3 linked regions of the Rattus norvegicus genome follow. The protein of the gene in region 1 interacts with the protein of each later gene in a biochemical or structural test. Links are inferred from orthologs where the notes say so. Each region holds a gene or a part of one and is shown on either strand. Other genes may lie near its edges.

Region 1 (3,500 bases):
GAGGCCCAGCTTAAAGACAGAGAAACATCAAAAGTTATTTATGACTTTATTGAAAAAACAGGAGGTGTAGAAGCTGTTAAAAATGAACTCCGAAGGCAAGGTAACTTTTGATTTATTTTGACTTTTTTTTTTTTCTGTTTCTTTTAAATTTTCTAAGATTATCTTTATGGTGAAAAACTAAGCACCCCTCCTTGAGCAAAGTCTTTGAATTTGTGTATGACAAATTCAGCTCAGCGTCACTGTATCTTTCATTATTTTGGTATAACAGAAGCCTTGAGCTAGACATGGGAAGATGACCTTTACCCAGCACCTGGGAGGTAGAGCAGGCAAATTCCTGTCTTAGAGGCCCACCTGGTCTACATAGATAACTGCATAGAGAGACTTGTCTTCCAACAAACAAAAACATGAGTGATTATTAGCCTAAAAGTCACCATGTAATCTCTATAACACATTTTCAGAATATAAATTATGTAAAATCTTTGTAATTTGAAATATAAAATTTTGCTTTGTTTTGGCTAGGGTATAATAAAATCTCTTGGCTCCAGAGACCACAGTTTACACCTGGATGTTGAGTAGTTTAAAGAACTTTGTGTTTTGGGTGCTCCCAATATTAGGACAGCCAGATGCAAGGACAATAGGTAGCCTTTGCTGTCACAGTCAGCACGACACACCATCTGCATTTGGAACCAAGTGTCTCCTCTTTGTACTGACACTAGGGAGCTGAGCTAATGCTCCAGTTCAGTGTCCTTGCATCTGACTGTCATTTGAAAGTGGGTATTTAATTACCTTTGTCTGCTTTTTAACTGCTGGCCCTCATTTTAATGAACGTGATCTTCCCTTTTGTAGTCAGTAAGGTTTAGAATCTTTAGGGCCAACTCTGAGAGCAAACAACTTCCAGGTCATATTGCTGCTGTATAACCACAGCCAGTTCAGTAGATACTTGGATTGGGCTGATCTATCTGACTAGCAGGCAAGTCACCCTTCAAGTGGTGTAGATTTAAAACATCTGTGGTTACATTTAGTCGTTTTCCAAGCTGTACAGTCATGACTTATATCCAGGTAAAGGACGATAGATCTTAAGGACTAGATAGGCAGACAGACAGATCTCTCTGCTGCACCCATGGTGCCCAGGGTTAATCGCCTGTTAGCATGTAGTCACACTCAGCATTATTGGACCATCTACATCGCTGTCTTACGGTTTTTGTACCTAAAGAAAAGTAGATCGTACTAACTGGTGTGGGTGAGAACCAGAGTTTCATCGGCCAGTAGTAAGCTGTCCAACATGGGTTAAGAATTGAGCTGAGGGGTTGGGGATTTAGCTCAGGCCCTGGGTTTAGTCCTCAGCTCCAAAAAATAAAGTAAAATAAAATAAATAAATAAAAAAATAAAAAGAATTGAGCTGAGATCCTCTGAAGCAGTTCACGCACTCTTAGTCAGTGAACTGTCTCTCCATCCCAGGGAAATTTTTTTTTATAGAGAGATAAATTAATAATTTATTTTTTAGAGTGAGCACATTTATAAATTAGTATTCAAAGATATGAAAAACAGAATGGAGATGTTAATAAAATTTGTTTTAACCTACTTAGTAAATCTTTTATCATTTATTTTATAGAATCATGAAATCAGATTTATAAAGACAAGCAAATTTGTGATTTCCATCATATCCCCATGTGTAGCTCTTACGTATTAAGTCCATTAACTTATAACAATCTGTTCTTCAGGTCCACCACAGTGGAGCGGTATGTATGTGGAACAGTATTTGGACCACTACTCTGAATTTTGCATGATTTGCTGTGTTGGTTTTTTGAGTAGCTAGCGTTTACATGTGCTGCCCTCAAAACTAATGTTTTGATCATAAAGGTGTTTTTGTATGTAGTTTTTTTGTTTTTGGTTTTCACTGTCACCGTATACCCCTGACTGTCCTGCAACTCCCTCTGTAGAAGAGGTTAGCCTTGAACTCATAGAAATCTGCCTATTCTGCCTCCAGTGTACTGGAATTAAAGGTTCATGTCTCCATCGCCCAGTACATAAAGATTCATGTGTAATAAAAAGAAACATTTCTAGAAGTATAAATATCTTCTATAATCTTATATAATGTAGATTATTTATTGAAGTTCTCTACTAGTAAACAGCTCTTGCTCACAGCACTCATGTTTTATTGACACTATACTATTTTACAATTGATTACACATTTGCTTTTCAGTAACCTGTATAAGATATGTCTATATTGCCTAGAAAAAGGAAGATGTGCAAAAGAATTCTTATTCACCACATGGAATTGTCATCTCAGAGGCTTGCTGCTAAGCTCACCCTTTCTAGTTTTTTCTGAACTCTGGCTGGCTGGCTGTTTAAACTCAGCTGAGCTGGCCCAGTCTCCTCCGAGCTGACTGATTCAAACTGGCTTCCTGCAGAATTGCTCTGCTTAGCCGCCTCCTTACTTTGGCAGTGTATTCCACTCTTCCGGCTCTTTTACATTCTCTGGCTTGTTGTGTCTTCTCCTGTGTCTAGTTTGCTCTCTTTGTAATTGTCTGTAAAACTGCTACCCACTAACTGCTCTGTGCTCCTCCTCTCTCCCTCCCCCTCGCTCCCTCTTTCTCTCCTCTTCCTCCCTACTCCTCGCTCCCTCTTTCATGAGAGGCTCTCTTAAGTAGATTCTCTTCCCTGTGCTGTTCACGTGAGAGTTGGGAGAGTGGGCATATGCTATCTCTGACTCATCTGTCATATTTTCTTCTTTGATTTGTCACTTTGTCTGCCCCTCAATTAGACAACACTTTCAAACATTACTGCTTCCTTCTATAACCTAGCCTTACTTTCATTGTTAGGAATTAAAAATGTGTACTAAGGGTATGTCTGCATTCTCGCTGGATCATATAGACCTATAAAGTCTTCGGATATGATCCCTTGCCAGAGCAACCATGTTACTGGATTAAAATTATCTACAAGGGTGGAGCAATATTAGTGAGAACAATATCATATATTCATTTAAGCACTTGACAATATTCCCATAAATTTATACTAGATAACATTTTTCTGTTATATTTTTATGAGATAACTTGGCATTGGTTCCTAAAAGTATTATGAATTCTTTAATACTATATGACCTTGTAATATTAAATAAGAAATTACATAAGAATTATTACATAAGAAATATAATTACCTACTGGTATTCTTAATAATACTGATGTTGGTCTGAAATAATAATTTTCAAATATGTCATCTTTTTATGTGCCATGAACACAAAGGTATTTTTCCCTTCCTATAAGATTGAGTGTTCTGTAGATTAATCAAGGATATTTATTTATATTTATGTATGTATTGTATATTATATATTTTGTGTGTGTGTGTAGATTAGAAGCATACTTTTTTGTAACATTCATGTCTTCCTCTTTGTTAATTTTCTTTCTTTTAATTTTAAAAATACCAGTTCTCATTCTCCTTCTGGTATTTGTGAACATTTAAAAGATCCTCACACTGGTGGCTGCTGCTTGGGTAACTGGCAT
Region 2 (4,171 bases), on another chromosome or scaffold:
CAGATCAGAGGTCAAGGGATGGCGGGCGCAGACCGCCACGTGCCCCAGCGCGGCCCCGCCCGTGACTCAGCCACGCGGCTGTCGAAGAACTAGGGCTGGGGGGGGGGGTCGTGGGGAGCCAGAATTTTGAGATGAACATCAGGGAGCCTAACCCGGCTCCAGAGAGGCAGCGAACCAAATCCCTCCACTGGGAGAGGCTGCATACCCCGGCGCCCCTCCTCCGAGGGACCGGAAGCGGCCGAGCCCCTCGGAGGCTAGGGTCCCGAGTGATTCCTTCACTCCCTCCAGCCTCACTGGCCTGCCATTCCCCCCTAGACCTGCACGGCGGCAAGTGACCTGATCGCACACAAATACTTAGCAAAAGTTTTACGGGAAAAGAAGAAAGCCCCAATGGGTCCAAAGTAGAGGGGACTTTCCTCTTCTTATAAAAGTTGTCATTCTTGGTACTTTAGTATTCTTCCGCCTTGAAAAATGAGTCCCGTCTTGTCACCCGGCTGGCGCCCCTATTCAAGTGACCTCTGTAGTCAGGGTTCAGGCATGGGGCGAGGCTCTGAGCTGGAGCGGATCCAGCGAAGGGAATGATTCCTCTGGAATATAGGGACGCGCTCGAATGAACCCAAGTGCGTCCACGGCAGACGGTTGGGACAGGTGCCCTTGTTGGAGACCTTTAGTACTGAAAATTACTAGAGTATTATGTCAATTTCACTTTTGTTCCCTTATCGTTTAAGTAAAATGTGGAGAAGGGTGCAGCCCACAAAACCCAGGGCGTCTGCCCGTCCCGCCTGCTGGGGACGCGTCTTCCCGGTTACGAAGGTCCAAATCTGTTCTGCCAGGCGCGCGCTCGCGCAGCCAAGCCGCTAGCCCCAACCGCCCCACGCGCTGTCTTCTCACTGCCCCGGCGCAGGCGCGGGCGCACGCGCCGCCGCCGCCCGCCGTTCCTTCCCTCCCGCGGAGGTGGGGGTTGGGGGGTGGAGGAATGATTCGGTTTAACCCTGGGTTCCCGGAACCCACTTTAATTTGCTCAATTTTACTAATTTTCCTCTTTTCCCCCTTCTTCCTCTGGTTTCCTCCTTCTGCGGCAAAGTGGTTTGTATCCCGTACGAATTGGAGCGAGCCCTAACCTTAGCCTCTCTCTTGCCACCACCACTCTAGCCTTTCGCGTGGCTTTCCATCGAACTCGGCAAATTTTGCAAAAGGGGGGAGGGCTTTTTAAAATTGCATTTGCAAAAGTTCGCTATCTGGCCTGGCAAGAGGGGGGGACGGAGGGAGGGAATGGGGAGCAGGCCCCGCCCCGCCGCCCTTTGCAAATAAAAATCTAGAGGGGGGGGAGGAGCAGGAAGTGGCGGTGCGAGGGCTGCTGCACAGCTAACACAGCCGCGTTCCGGACGGCAGCGCGTGCCCCGAGCTCTCTGCCTTCCCCCGCCCGTCAGCCCGAGCCCAGCCCGCGATCCCAGCAGCAGCCCGCAGAGCAGCCCCAGCAGCAGCGCCATGGCCGGGTGGAACGCCTACATCGACAGCCTTATGGCGGACGGGACCTGTCAGGACGCGGCCATCGTAGGCTACAAGGACTCGCCCTCCGTCTGGGCCGCTGTCCCCGGGAAGACCTTCGTTAGCATTACGGTACTGCGAGGCTTGTGCGGTCCGGGGCATTGATCAGGCTTAGACCCTCTGGGAGACTTGGGTGGGGGCGGGCGCAGTCTAGCGAGGGCAGCGAGAGGCCGTGATCCGGTCCTCTTCCTGAAGCGGCGCGAATGGCGGCTGCATGAAACTAGGTCCCTCTGTTGCCCCCCAAGCTCTACGCCCATCGGCGGCGGCGCCCATCTCGCCCGCCGCCCCGCTTTCTGCGACGGGGCGTTACATCCGGGGCACAGGGCGGGGAGGGGCGCGTCGCCCGGTGCGGCGGCCCACTTCCGCCTCCTCCAGGGCGGGGCAGGCACGCGCTGCAATTTTAGCCTGGGATTATGATTGATAAGGGGCTTGGGGAGCTTGGACTCCCCTTTGGGCCGACTGCTCGCTCTCCCTCCACCATTGTTTCCCCTTATGCTGATGGGAGCGCCAGGCGCGTGGCCTTGGGCCCTGCAGGACCTCGGTAGCACCCTGCCCCTCCCAACTCCGTTAGAGAGGGCGAGGCCGCCACCACACACACCCCCAATTCGGCACGTTAGCCTCAACATTCCTGTGAGGCCAATCCCGGAAGTCCCCTCACCCTCCCTTCCCGCCATCCGGCAGGGCTCGGAGTAGGGGAACTTTGCGAGAAGTTCTGAGACGGTAAAAGTGAAGGGATAAGGCTGCTGCTGTCCCTGCCACCACCTTCCCTGACCACACTGCCCGGAAGTGGGGAGGGGGAGCGGAAGTTCGAATGGGGGGAAGGGGATTTCCGGGCGGGAGGGTACCGGATATGGGGTTTGGGGTTTAAGGGGGAGAAGGAGTAAGGTTCTCTGGGATGTCTAGACTCAAAAGACTAGTCTCCTGCCCTTATAAACTTTTTAAACTTAATTAGAAAGCCCCCAGGGGTCAGCTTCCTTATCTTGGGGCATAGATACCTAGACCTAAACTCTAGCTCACCGGGAGACCCAGGAGTCCCGGCTCCTAACAACGCCTGCAGAACCTTTGACCAAATAAGGACAAAGTTACTTCTCCTCCCTTCCTACCCCCTCCCTTCCCCTCTCCGCTTCTGCTTTTCCTGAAGGACTGTTCTGAGCATCCAAAGGCTCCCCCCTCGATCATTGATCCGTTTTTGGTACCCAACATTTCTTTCTTTGCTTTTTCTATTAAGCATGAAAATCTAATTCTTCAAAGGAATATTTTTCCTTCCTTGGACTCATTTAATAGAGTTTAGGATCATTGTCGTTCTCTACACTACCCACAGTACTGTTTTCCCCAACTTTTGATGGTGTGTATGAAACACCTTCACCTCCAACTCCACAGTACATAAGAGGACAAGTTATGCAGGTGCACTAACTTAATGAGGTGATTGATTCTTCTAGCCAGCTGAGGTTGGTGTCCTGGTAGGCAAAGACCGGTCAAGTTTTTTCGTGAATGGGCTGACACTTGGGGGCCAGAAATGTTCTGTGATCCGGGACTCACTGCTGCAAGACGGGGAATTTACAATGGATCTTCGTACCAAGAGCACCGGGGGAGCCCCCACCTTCAATGTCACTGTCACCATGACTGCCAAGAGTAAGTTTGATTCGCTGGCTTTGAAATCCCTAACTTCCTGTTAGTCACTTGGTTTTATGTGTGTCAGAGCTGCAAAACAGTATTTACTCTGCTGGATATGGGAACCTTGGATGGCTCCCCATATCCCCATTGTGTAAAGAAACTACATTACCTCTTAAGTGTCTTCTTGCTTTGAGCTTTTTGAGATTAGTTTGTTGGGAGTAGACTGTTGGAATCTTAAGTCAGCATTTGGCTCTAATCTTGAGTTCTGTAAAGACCTGAGGTAGGAAGCAGTTCCTAGCCACATCAGTCTACAACCTGTAAGCCTATGACCTCTAAATTTTGTTCTTTCTTTACTAGTCTTAAAGCTTTTTTTCTTCTTTGAAAAGCTCTATTGTTTTAGGGTGACTGACAGCCTGCCTGTGTATAAGGGGAGGAGGGAATGAGGTTAGGTTACAACCCCCGGGGCTGGACAGCTGCTGAACAGCTGGCTGGGTTGAATTGTGACACCTGGGTCCTAGCTTCCTTTCTCTTTCCTCCAGCGCTAGTCCTGCTGATGGGCAAAGAAGGTGTCCACGGTGGTTTGATCAACAAGAAATGTTATGAAATGGCCTCTCACCTGCGGCGTTCCCAGTACTGACCTCATCTGTCCCTTCCCCCACCGCTCCCTTTGGCTTTTGCACCCCCTTCTTTCCATACACACACACACCATTATTTTTTGGGCCATTACCCCATTTCCCTTATTGCTGCCAAAACCACATGGGCTGGGGGCTGGGGCTGGATGGACAGATACCTCCCCCTACCCATACCCCCTCCTGTGTGTGTTTGGGAAAAAATTGTTTTTGGGTTTCATTTTTGTTTTACTTTTTTTTTGTTTTGTTCTTTTTTTTTTTTCTGAATAAAAAAAGATTCTACTAACAAGGACCTGTGTGGTTTGCACTTCGCATTAGTTGGAGACAGGCACTGTGACCCACCTCAATTATGTATCTGCGTCTTGATGTGACATAGGCCC
Region 3 (4,043 bases), on another chromosome or scaffold:
GGACTGGGCTCCATCTCCAGTCCTCAAATGAACATTCTTCCGATGAGGTTTCCTCTAATGTTGGGAGGCATCTAACAAGTAGGATAGGATCTCTATTCTCCAGAAGCTTGAAGCTTGTACACCACCAGAGAAGACAGCCATTAAACAGGCGCTGAGATGATAGGAAAAAGGATTCGAGAGGTTTAGATCCCACCAAAGGGGTCAGGGGAGAGCACTCAGGCAGAGTAAACGCAGGGCTTTTTGAGGGGAAAGTCTGTAGTTCTAAACAAAACCCAGAGTGATGTCCAGCTCTCACTTCAAAACAGATTGTTCAGAGGCCTGTGGCCTTCAGAAAGCTGTGCACAGCAAGTCACTTCTCAGAGAAGCAAAAGAGGCAAGGCGTGGAGGTGCGTGCCTGCAATCTCAGTACTTCGGAGGTAGAGGCAAGAGGATCGGCAGTTCGGGGCTGGGGATTTAGCTCAGTGGTAGAGCGCTTACCTAGGAAGCGCAAGGCCCTGGGTTCGGTCCCCAGCTCCGGAAAAAAAGAACCAAAAAAAAAAAAAAAAAAAAGAGGATCGGCAGTTCAAGATCAACCTGTTACCCAGTTGTGTTCAAAGCCAGCTGGGCTAAATGAGACCCTGTCTCAAGTTGCTCAATAAAGATAGTCTGGGTATGGTGATGCACACCTTTAATCCTAGCACTCACGAAGCAGACGCAAGGGGATCTCTGAGTTCCAGGCTAGCCTGGGCTCGAAAAACAAAACAAAAAGAAAAAGAGACAGCTTGAGCGTTGTGGTACATTTCTTGGGATTATCAGAACTCAGGGAGCAGAGGTAGTAGGATCGCTGTGTGTTCTGGGACAACCTGGTCTACATAGCCATTTCTAGGGCAGTAAAGGCTACATAATGACACCCTGTCTAAATAAAATAAACAAAAATATTTGTTTACAACAAATATATTTACAACATTTTCTCTACAAAGTTGCAAGAATAGAAGTAAACTTTAGTTACAAACTGTGCACATTTTCTGTTCATAGTTTTATTACGAATAAAATCACCGTTAAAAGGCGCAGAGAGCAAACCCGAACACGCAAAGAACGTAGCCCGCGCGTGCGCGCCAAGGGGCGGAGCCCGGGCCGCCTGAGCCCCTTCTTTCTCTTTGTCCCTCCCACTTCCGCGGGCACCCAACCATGCGTCCCCTGCGTGCTGACGTCAGGCGCGTGCCCCTGTCCGGCAGCCGAGGAGGCCCCGCGCAGTGCTGCCAACGCCCCGGCGGAGAAGCTGAGGTGAGTGCGGGGCCCGAGTAGCCTCCCTGCGGGAGCGTCTTCTGCGCCGCCCGGTCCCCTTCCCATGTCCCCCGTCCTCCCTCGGTTCTCGTGGACGCTCGCGGGCGGGGACATCCCGGTGCTTGCGGGCGGCGGGCCGCGAGGGAGGGATTGCCGGGTTCGCGTGCGCCCGCCGGCCCGGGTTCTGAGGGGAACGAGGCGGGGTCGCGGCCAGGTTTGGGGCCGGAATGGCGGCGAGGCGCGGCCCGGGATGGCGGCGGCTGAGGGCACAGCCCGGCCGAGCTGTCAGCGGCGGCGAGAGGACCGGGCACACCCATCCCACACGTTCCCCTCCCCCTCCGGCTGCCCGCGGGCTCTAGAGGCCCCGGGGCGCGGGGTGGGGGGACGTATGGTCAGGACCGGGGTCGGAGGCCGGGGGCTGTCTCTGCGCTGTGGGCCTCGACTTCCTGCTTCCCGGGCTCCGCCGCGGACGCGTTGCGGCTGGCGGGGGAGGGGAGCGGAACTGCGGCCGCAGGGCCGGGCCGGGGCCGAGGTGACGGACCGGGCGGCTCTGCGCCTGCGCCCCTCGGCGATCTCCTGTCCCGCGCCGCGTCCTCTCCTGCCCCGCGGCTCCGGGGGCTCTCCTGACGGGGCCAGCCTCTTTGCCTTCCGGGACCTGCCTAAGTACCTCCCGAAACCCCGCCTGGCCACTTACTCAGTTCCTCATTACTAGCAGGAAAATTTCTTTGTTGACTGCTACTATTATTATTATATATTTTTAAATTCCTCTTTCCACCCCTTTAACTCCGGGAGATATTCAGTGTGGAAGATTACGTCATCGCAGCATAAGGGGTGAAAGTTTTAACTCCTACAAGTCAGGGCTCACCAAATTAAGACAGCATCTTGTGGCCTTAGTGGGTCACTCCACCCAGCACATCAGTTCAGAGTAAGGTGTAAGGTGGCTTTTTTTTTTGTTTTTGTTTTTGTTTTTTGTTTTTTGTTTTTTGTTGAAATCCTGTTGTCTGTCTCCAGACTGCCTGAGATGCACCTGAAATACGGAAGGTTCAAAATCTTAGGTTTAGGGTATTTTTGGTCAGGGAATACACACTGTCTGCAGTCACTTGTGTAGGTATGAACTTCAAAGGGCCCCTTGGCTGTACTCGGGTGAATTTTAAGGAGCAGTTCTTTGCCACACTAGTTGTGACTTAGCTGATGTAAAGAACCCAAATTCAGTGCATGGTTTGAAGAGTGAGCTGAAAAGAGAATTTAGTTATACACCTGATTTGTCTTTGTTAGGATTGCAGCTTCAAAGTTGCATGCTTTAGTTTTACCATGAAGAATGGCTTTTGGATTTTTTATCTTGAGACAGGGTCTCCATAGGTAGTGGTGGTTAACCTTGAATTTAGAGGGACCTTCCCTCTAGTCTCTGCCTCTCAAGAGCTGGGATTACAGGCATGAGCTACTTAAATTGCTACCCTTGTTTTTAATTTTTTTTTTTTTTTTTTTTGGTTCTTTTTTTCGGAGCTGGGGACTGAACCCAGGGCCTTGCACTTCCTAGGTAAGCGCTCTACCACTGAGCTAAATCCCCAGCCCCTTGATTTTAATTTTTAACCCTAAAAACTTGAGTAATACTTTTAGATCACTAGAATTGTGTGTCCTTTGATTATAGTATACACTAGTGTTGAAGTATTCTTCAACATTGCAAAACAAATGAGATCCAGTGTGTAGCACATCCCTGTAAGGGTGGCTCGTATTTGAACAAGACTTTTCCCATTATTGCTCGTTTGTATAGAAAACAGTATTGTTTGTTAAACACTGGCGTGGTGGATTCAAATAGGCTTTCTGTAGTTTGTAGGTGTGGAGCTTGAATCGTCCCAAATAATTTGTTATGCTTCATGTGACATCTAGGAATATAAAATTGGAGAGTACTTATCTACTATTGTGTTTTTTAAAGCCTATATTTAAAAAGTTTACATGTGTACCAATTTGTATTTTTTTTCCCCTTTTTTTATTGAACTAGTCTGGGCTGGTGAGATGGTACAGTGGATAATAACACTTGTCAGACAGGCCCGACTGCCTTAGTTGGGTCCCCCAGAACCCAAGGTGGAAGGAGAGAATCTGCTCAGGAGGCAGAGGCAAACTCTCTGAGTGTGAGGCCAGACTCGTCTACACAGCCTGTCTTGAAAAAACAAAAACAAAATCTGTCTTCTGATCTTCACACTCTTGCCACATGCATGTGTACACATAAATGCACACAATAATAATAAAAATTAAAAACACAATTAGTTTGAATTTGTAAGTTTTAGACAAGGCAAGGACATAAGAGATTGGTAACTGAGTATTTGAAAGGAGTATTTTTTAAACAGTAATTTGTTCAAGACCCAAAATTGCCTTCTATTCTGTTAAACACTTGTTTAAATTCAAGATATTTTCATATTGAGACAGTACCTGTGCTTAGTAAACACATTCCCTGCACCAGTAATCCATGTAAGCCCATCAAGACTAAATCCCCAAGTTTACAAAGTTTACAAATCTTTACAAAAGATTTGTTTTCTTAGGAATATTTTTGCACTTGAAATGTTTTACAGATTGTTTTATTTCAGATTTTCACACATCTATGCAAAATATTTTATATTTTGACCATACTCATCCCTATTTCCCTCCTCTGCCCCTCAGCATGTCCACCTCCCAAGTCTTACTCTTTTTTATGACCCACTGAGTCTAATTTATGCTGCCCCACTCTTCATCTTAAGATCTATGAAACATTTCTAGTTATTTTTACTGCTAAATTTTTTTTGGTG

The links.
Region 2: the proteins of Wasl (region 1) and Pfn1 form a complex in vitro, tested with the Homo sapiens proteins (2 studies listed by BioGRID). The link is inferred for Rattus norvegicus from reciprocal best matches to the Homo sapiens genes WASL and PFN1.
Region 3: the proteins of Wasl (region 1) and Cdc42 form a complex in vitro, tested with the Homo sapiens proteins (3 studies listed by BioGRID). The link is inferred for Rattus norvegicus from reciprocal best matches to the Homo sapiens genes WASL and CDC42.

Annotation. Positions count from the first base shown.
Region 1 is NC_086022.1:54,056,071-54,059,570, reverse strand, and holds part of Wasl (actin nucleation-promoting factor WASL), read left to right. Parts: coding exon 1-100; intron 101-1,721; coding exon of another isoform or gene 1,722-1,739; intron 1,740-3,500. UniProt on the Homo sapiens protein: Regulates actin polymerization by stimulating the actin-nucleating activity of the Arp2/3 complex. Involved in various processes, such as mitosis and cytokinesis, via its role in the regulation of actin polymerization.
Region 2 is NC_086028.1:55,863,788-55,867,958, reverse strand, and holds Pfn1 (profilin-1), read left to right. Parts: upstream 1-1,371; 5' UTR 1,372-1,488; coding exon 1,489-1,620; intron 1,621-2,987; coding exon 2,988-3,180; intron 3,181-3,701; coding exon 3,702-3,799; 3' UTR 3,800-4,077; downstream 4,078-4,171. UniProt on the Homo sapiens protein: Binds to actin and affects the structure of the cytoskeleton. At high concentrations, profilin prevents the polymerization of actin, whereas it enhances it at low concentrations. By binding to PIP2, it inhibits the formation of IP3 and DG.
Region 3 is NC_086023.1:154,873,712-154,877,754, reverse strand, and holds the start of Cdc42 (cell division control protein 42 homolog), read left to right. Parts: upstream 1-1,243; 5' UTR 1,244-1,263; intron 1,264-1,269; exon of another isoform or gene 1,270-1,381; intron 1,382-2,057; exon of another isoform or gene 2,058-2,195; intron 2,196-2,933; exon of another isoform or gene 2,934-4,043. UniProt on the Homo sapiens protein: Plasma membrane-associated small GTPase which cycles between an active GTP-bound and an inactive GDP-bound state. In active state binds to a variety of effector proteins to regulate cellular responses. Involved in epithelial cell polarization processes.